Sus scrofa: one gene and its partner. The protein of the gene in region 2 interacts with the protein of the main gene of each other region in a pairwise test. Links are inferred from orthologs where the notes say so. Each region holds a gene or a part of one and is shown on either strand. Other genes may lie near its edges.

Region 1 (4,021 bases), on a different chromosome or scaffold from region 2:
TAAAACAAGGAGGCCGTTATCTATATCCACTTCTTTGAAAGGCTGGTCCTTAGAGAATGTGCAGAAAAGTCTACAGGTGTTGATCAAAGTAACAGGTGAGGGGGGCGAGGGGAGGGGAAAGACAGAAGAGGTTTACCACCTGGGCATGGGTGGTCAAAAGCATCTTGGAGTGCGCTTTCTTAGTCACCGTTAGGTGGAGTGAACGTGAATGTAAAATTACAGTCGGCCCTCCGTATCCGAGGGTTCTGCATCCGCGGGAAAAAAAATTCCAGAAAGTTCCAAAAACCAAACTTGACTTTGCCAATTTTCTGGCAACTATTTACATATCCTTTATGTTGTATTAGGTATTATAAGTCATCTAGAGGTGATCTAAAGTATCCAGAAGGATGTGCATAGGTTATGTGCCAACACTGTGCCATTTTACATAAGGGACCTGAGCATCACTGGGTCTTGGTATCAAAGGGAACCACTCCCCTACAGATACCCAGGGACGACTGCATTAGGAATTAGTGAGACTCCCTAACACCGTATGCTAAGCGTTTCAAATGCTGGATGCAGGCACTCGGGCTCATCATCTCCTCCAGAAATCACACTGAACTTACAAAGAAGGCGTGGTCTTTGAAGGTGGGCGTTTCCGGGGTGCCCTGGCTGTACATGGACATTCTTCTCTGCAGGGCGGCCGCCTTGTTCCCAGCCCCCGAAGATGGGGTCATGTCCTCCACGTCGAAAGGACTGCAAAACAACAAGTCCCCGTGAATGCACGTCTGTTAAAATCACCTATAATCACTGGACCGCAGGCCAAGAAAGCACCTCATCATGCTAACGGAAAGTCAAACCAGTGGGAACCGGGCTGGTTTGGGCCAGACTGGTCTGTCAGCAAACAAACCAAGATAACAACAAGTGGCGCAGAAAACGGAGTCTAGACTGGCCCGAGGGACCAGAGATTATGGTCACAGCTTTAGGCACAATTTATATGGACCCTGGATACTGGATAAATCGGCTTCCTCATTCATACAAGAGACATAAACATATGAAAGCTTGTTCCAACACAAGATGTTGAAGTCTGTAAAAATTCCGGGGGCTCTGCAAGGACAGTTACTTTAATGATATGGAGAGTAACAGATTATTGTTTGGTCCTAAAGAAAACACTCTTGCTCATTTCTGTTGACCCAGAGCCTCTTGCGTGATTGAGAGGAAAACAGCCTGTTGACAAGGACACCATTTATCATCACGCCAAGGGTTCATCCAGCAAGAGGCCTGGCCTTGCATTTGAAATGCCAATGATTACAAGTTCTTAGGAGAGAGGGGCTGGGCAAAAGGTGCGGACACTGTTTCAATGACAAGGCACCAGGTCTCTGCTGCTTCCAAGGGTGACCCTCTCAGGTGTAAAGGGGACCCTGAACACAAATACTCTGCATGTCTGAGTTGCTTGGTAATATACCAGGGGCTTAAGATCAAATGTTGCGAGCAACCAGTGTTTAATAACTTATCATGGCCTTTCTCACTGGGCAACTTCAGAAAGCTACTTTTAAGTTCCTTGCTTTGGCAAAAGGTATCCCTTGCCCTTTGGCAACATTCTCTTTTAGCAGATAGAGTGTGGAGAGGCTAAAGTTAGCCAAAATTTTCCAGGGCAATCAATATAAGATGTATGAAATAACAAGGGCTAAGCAATGAAAACAACCATAGCGAGAATTGGGATCTTTCTGTGGGCAAAATAACTCATATTGGGCAATTATTTTCTTTCAAGTTACTTGACTTGAGAGATATATTTCTTTATATACATTTAAAGCTTGAGAAGGAGGGGAGGAGGCAGAATAGAACAGGAATTCCCTGGTGGCCTAGCGGTTAAGGTCTTGGTGTTGTTACTGCTCTAGCGCGGGTTCCATCCCTGGGCTGGAAAGGGAAATTCTGCGTGCAGCTAAAAAGAAAAAGTAAATCAGGAGTTCCCGTCGTGGCGCAGTGGTTAATGAATCCGACTAGGAACCATGAGGTTGAGGGTTCGGCCCCTGCCCTTGCTCAGTGGGTTAACGATCTGGCGTTGCTGTGAGCTGTGGTGTAGGTTGCAGATTCGGCTCGAATCGCGCGGTGCTGTGGCTGTGGCATAGGCTGGTGGCTACAGCTCCGATTCAACCCCTAGCCTGGGAACCTCCACATGCCGAGGGAGCGGCCCAAGAAATAGCAAAAAGACCAAAAAAAAAAAAAAAAAAAAAAAAAAAAGTAAATCAAAGAGGAGAGTAGTGATAAGAGCGAGGGCTCTCCAACTTTGGCACATGTGAACATCACGTGGTGAGCTTGTCAAAGAGATTCTTGGGCCCGGACAGATTCTGGCACAGGAAGTTTGGGTGGCGCCTGAGAGTTCGCTTCCATATCAAGCTCCCTGGAATCCCTTTTTTTTTTTTTTAAAGTTTTATTGGAGTGTAGTTGACCTGCAGTGTTGTTAGTTTCATGTGTACAGCACAATCAGTTATGCGTAGACACATATCCATTCTTTTTCAGATTCTTTTCCCACAGAGGTGATTATAGAATATTGAGTAGATTTCCCTGTGCTATACAGTGAGTCCTTGCTACTCTTTTATTTTACATACAGTAGTGTGTACATGGCCACATGCCACCGTTGGAACACCTCGAGCCTGCTGCACATATTTTAATGTGATGAAATCAAAAAGGGCAACTTACTACCAGGTGATTTCCAGGTTGAGTTTGATGGTGCCAAGGTCATTGATGTCCACGGCCACCACCTGAGGTCGGGCTGCAAACAGCTCTTTGGTCTCGCAGGTCACGCTGCCGACCAGGAGGTGAGTTGCCAGCCCTTTGAGTTCTGTGACCTGGGAAGAGAGGGAAGAAGGCTTGCAGGATGGCAGAGGACAAAGGAAGGGGTATGCTCTTCCTGTTTTGCGTGGCCAGGTCAGGCATTTCGGAATCATATCTGAAATCAGAGGTGGATGTTTCCGAAGGCCATCTCACATTTACCCTGCCCGCTCTGACGCCAGGGCAGGGCTCTGTGATGTACACAAGGTCTGTGGGGTGGAGGGGCAGCAGGCGGAGGTCATGGACACAGGCCTTCCACGATGGACCATCCCGCCGTGGCACCAGGAGAGAAAACGTGATGATACTGTACCTTGATGGAAATCAATCCAACAATCAAGGGCAGGAACACCATTTCCTCTCCATCCCAGCTCTGTTTGCCATTGACTTCGATTCTGCCTTTCAGTTTCCACCTCTGTCGGCCGTACTTCATGAAAATCTGGGGAGAAGACGCCAAAGGGCCCTCAGGTTCCACTGCCCTCACCCCCTTTCCCTACCAAACACCAGCATCAAAAGGGCAAGTCAGGAAGCGGCTGCAGCTTCTCCTGGTCCCCAGCAGCCTCACTCCACCCACTTATTGCTGGGTCCAAATTCCCTGGGGTGGAGCAGAGGATGAGTGGGGACTTTCAAAAGGGCGTAAGTCCTGCTTCTCTAGGACAGAAGGTATGAACTGCTTTCTTTAGAAAAAGGTCATTGCATCGCGCCCTTTGGCTCCCTCATGTCAACCAGCTCTTTCTCTGCTTAGTTCTGCTTCAACAGAACAACAACTGGATTCATTCTCTACACTCCCCTGCTCCTTTAGAGAGATGGGGAACCATCTGCTAAAATCTACTGAGTGGCCAGAAGCAAGAAATAAGACATCCTCCCTCTGGATGAGGGAGATAGAACTGGACAAGGATTTCGAAATCTGCCATCCTCTGGGCAGAGGGTGTACAGTCTCCTTGGTCAGACAGCTTTGCTGTTTAGAGGAAGATACGTTCCCACCATCCTGCCCCCACCCCCGCCCGGCCGAGAAGAGTGATTGTAGAGGGTTTGGGAGGAGATACATGAAATAATTATGTAAGTTTCCTTCTGAAGAGAGAAAAAAAATATATATATATGTGTGTATATATATATATATATATATATATTTTACTTCATGGAGTATATTTTTCTAAAGGAAGATCCAGATTCCATTATTCTTTAATCATGATACTTATGAGTCATCATAATCCTG
Region 2 (3,999 bases):
GACATCAGTGTCACTTACAGCTTGAGCTCTAGTTAGAGACCTTGGAGTTTACTGCAAAGGCCACTAAGCTGGTGGACTCCTACCCTGAGAACTCCCCTCCCCTATCCTCAGCTCAGGAGTGGCCTCTATGTGCCAAGCATGGGGTTAAAGTGGGAAGAGATTTACTCACCAGGACGAGAAATGCGTGGAGCCATCAGGTGTGGATCCGTTCTGGCTGCCCAGACCTGGGGGCAGGAACACATCCAGAGCTGCAACAGGCTGGGGGTGGGTATCTGAGCAGGCATCAGCCCAGGTCAGGTTAGAGGCCAGTGGTATTTGTTGGAGAGTGTGGTGGAGGCCCTAAAGAACTTGTGGTATTGTCTGATGAGAGTGCAAGGGAAATTATATATCATGGGTGGACTGGTGGGGTTACTGGCATGAAATGCTATGTTGACATGGGTCAGGATACAGCGTTGTCATTAGGTTCTCAGGGCACCAGTGGTAATCTGGGGGGGAGGGTTCGGGGAACCCGAAGGTACAGTCAGTGCGGGAAGAGGGTGGCCGGTCCACGGAAGTTGGTGGGGAGCCTCACCTGGGCGGTGATACAGCCCGGTCACCGTACTCCCGTAGAACCCCCACGCCAGCTGGATGCTCAGGAGACTTAACACCAACCAAAGCAGCAGCAACTTGAAGAGGGTCACGCGCATGTCCTGAGCCTCCCACTCCCGCAGGAACTCGCTGCCGAGGGCGCCCAGCGCGCCCAGCACCGTGGCCGGCAGAACCTGCAAGGACTGCCCCGACCAAGGCTCCGCCATGACTGGCCGGTGGCGGACCCAGGGGACTGTCACCGTAGTCCCCACTGCGCAAGCGTCCGGTCTTCCGGAGCCAGACTCAATAATGCGCACGCGTAAACCGAGGCATGGAGCGCCTACCTCGCCTGCGCGCAGAGTTGGCAGTTGGGGCGGAGCAGTAAAACCGCGCACGCGCACCAAGCCCCACCCTGCTTAAAGGATGAGTGACTCGAGGAGTATAAAATAGCAACCAGCTCTTTTATAGCCCCAGAGTTCCCGTGATGCACCACGCGGCTGCAATGATTGGTTAAGCGTCTTGCTTTTAGGGTGTGGACGCGCTCCTGAGCAATCGTGGCTGAGCCCTGAGTGCGCGCGCGTGCGCGGGGCCGCGACCGGGGCCGGCTCGAGCCCGCTGGGCACTCGGGGGCGCGCACGTCGCTCCCCGCCCTCCCGCCGCCGTCGCCGCCCGCTCTTGCTCTCTCGCGCTCCCCGCCCGTCGCTCTCCGTCGGTTCTCTCGTTAGTCCACCGCCACCTCCACAGCCACCCGCCGTAGTCTTCGAGCTCGCGACTCGCGGACAGGCGTTCTCGGCGCGGAGAAGCCGGCCTTGGAGTCGTCGCCTTAGGTGAGCGAGAGGGTTCCCTCCTGGCGTCCCGGGCCCGCCCGCCCGGCACTCTTCCGGCCGCCCGCCAGCCGCCGCCCCGCCGCGGCCGCGCCCCACCTGCTGCTCTCGGCCGGGAGCCCCAGGACCCTGTCCCCTGACCCTAACTCGGGGCCCAGTAGCCGGGCTCCTCTTCCCAAAGCGGCGGCCCCGCCCGCGCGGTCCCCGGAAGCGCGCCCCGCGGCCTCCCGCGCCCCTTCCCCCGCCCGGCCAGGCCTGGTGGAGCCCTAGCCGCCTGCCCGCCCCGCGGTCCCGGGCGCTTCCTCTCTTAGGGCTGCGCGGGGCAGGGCGGGGGTTGTGAGACTGGCCCCACGACCCGGGGGGCAGCCGGCCGCTGGGAAGCGTGCTTGGCTATCGGAGTTGAAATGGGAAAGAAACTCTTTACAACTCCATTTTGGCTTTTACATTTAGTATGAAACATGAATCACCGTTTTATACTTGGTGAAGTCCAGTTACGTTTTGGGTATTTTCCTTTTTAATGCAGTATTCTTTGAGATTGTGTTAAGTAAAACAGTGTTGAAATCCTAGGGGTTAGGATTCTTCGATATTGGAAGAAGGGAATTTTCCAATTGAAGGGGATATTTTTCCTGATTAAACTATGTAGCATAAAAATATAGTATTAATTTGCAATTTTTCTTAGTCTGAGTTATTACCTTGATTAGGAATCACCTAAACATCTGTCCAGTTGGATCCAGTTACATGTTCATTAAATAGCACTATTTGCACTCGATTTGTTCAAAACCATGATTAGTAGTTAATGATGGAAAATTGGCATCCTTTTTACTTAAAGTTGGTTTCCCTTGTGTTTCATAATGGTCCTGATAAAAAGTTTTTACCTCTGTTGGTAACTTGTTTGGTTCTCTTTGTATTTAAGACAGTCTTTTGAAGTAAATGTCCCTTGCAGGTGTGTAATCAGATTATATTCCTGCCAGACCTGAAGGGGAAAAATACTTTAAAAAATTCTTTTAAATGTTGTATGTGGTGAGAATTTGTCAGCCACCTTGTGTCACACATCCAGATGTGTAATGCATTTGTACCATTGCATGATTGTCACTTTAGACATGACTAAATTGGGAGAGATGTTGTTTTGAGCATTTGGCACAAGTGACATTGTTTGGGGTGAAGATAAAAGATTAGCTTTTAATTATAAAGGGTAACTTAGTGAAGGATCTCTTTTGATAAATTGTCTTGAGTAGTTCCATCTAATTTTTGTAGAGCACTGGTGGCCCTTGGGAACATAAAATATCAGATGGAACTTGATTTTAGTAAAGATTAATCCTAGACTCATAGCTTCCGTTCTCATAAAAATCTGTATTAAAGGGAAGACGTTTTCATTGATCAAGAATTTTAGACGTGAAAGAAATCTTCAGGACTTGTAGTCCAACTCCATTTGCAGATGAGAAACTGAGTCCGACAGTCTTCAGTAAATTTCTCAAGGTCATATGTCTATAGTCAGGTGCCAGCCAGAACTATTTTCACTCTAAGATCTTCTTTATGTACTCCTAAACAGCTTGCTTAGAGTCAGCTAAAATTCAGTGCTTTCAACTTATTATAGTGTTTCTCCTATTATATATTGCTGATTTTATATACATTGAGAGAATCAGGAATATTTCACAAACAAATGTTTTTTAGCTTTTGCTCTGTTTTCTGTAACTGGATGGTTCTACAGCAGTTGATTGAAATAGGTAAATGAATATGCAGAGTCTCTGCCTGGCCTAGGTCATGGCTTTAGGTGTTTTGGTCTTCTTACGGGACCATCTTCTTCGGAGGTAAGCCCAGACTCCCTTGCTGTAAAACTAAAAGAATTAGGCCCTGATAAGATGTTATCAGGCGACTGTGGACTCTTTTTACTGTTGATTTGAAGCAGGATGAAGGGAAATAGCATATATCAAGAATATAGTTTCCATTGTTTGTGGTGATGGTTTTGCTGGAGTGTTTTCGGTCCCAATTCTTTTTTTGTCTGTCAGAAAACTCTTTTTAATAGTTTATCCTGGTCATGTGGGGTTTAAGTTATTTGGAGAGTAAAAACAGGTAGATCTTCAGGTGCTTCGTGTCCATTAAGGTGGAGTCCAAGCAGTGACTGGAGGAGGTGGGTTGCTACTTTGGGTCTTCTTACTTGTCCTGAGCTGAGAGATTTTTGTTAACTCTCAGAAGACAGATCGATTTTTCAACTTTTATGAGTACCAATTTGGACCTGCTGGGCTTCTATAGATAGCACCTTGTGTTTAATTGCATTATGGTTGCTAGTGATAATGATAAGTGGTGCATAATCACTGAATTTTAATCACATACATTTGTAATTGTAAAAGGTCCCTAAAGATATTTCATCTTCCTTTACCACTTAGTTTATCCCTTTATGCACCTGGCCTGTAGAACTGTTTGCCTGTACCTTCACATTAATGCAATGAAGTTTTAAACTTGTGTTAATGTATCTTACTATACTCTGCTCTTTGGGCATTTGCTAACTGTTAAGTACTTGTGAGATTAATAAATTAAAAATTTCAAGACACTTCTAAAGTTAGTAATTACTCTAAAATTCCTATTTCAAGTGTTTCTATATCTAGTGACT

What was found.
Region 1: the proteins of RHOA (region 2) and RIPOR2 interact in binary tests that used the Homo sapiens proteins (3 or more experiments, as listed by UniProt). The link is inferred for Sus scrofa from reciprocal best matches to the Homo sapiens genes RHOA and RIPOR2.

What each region holds. Positions count from the first base shown.
Region 1 is NC_010449.5:19,646,637-19,650,657, forward strand, and holds part of RIPOR2 (protein FAM65B), read right to left. Parts: intron 3,245-4,021; coding exon 3,119-3,244; intron 2,826-3,118; coding exon 2,677-2,825; intron 733-2,676; coding exon 603-732; intron 1-602. UniProt on the Homo sapiens protein: Acts as an inhibitor of the small GTPase RHOA and plays several roles in the regulation of myoblast and hair cell differentiation, lymphocyte T proliferation and neutrophil polarization.
Region 2 is NC_010455.5:31,988,408-31,992,406, reverse strand, and holds the start of RHOA (transforming protein RhoA), read left to right. Parts: upstream 1-1,199; 5' UTR 1,200-1,394; intron 1,395-3,999. Other genes in the region: TCTA (T-cell leukemia translocation-altered gene protein), read right to left, coding at 170-248, 572-794. UniProt on the Homo sapiens protein: Small GTPase which cycles between an active GTP-bound and an inactive GDP-bound state.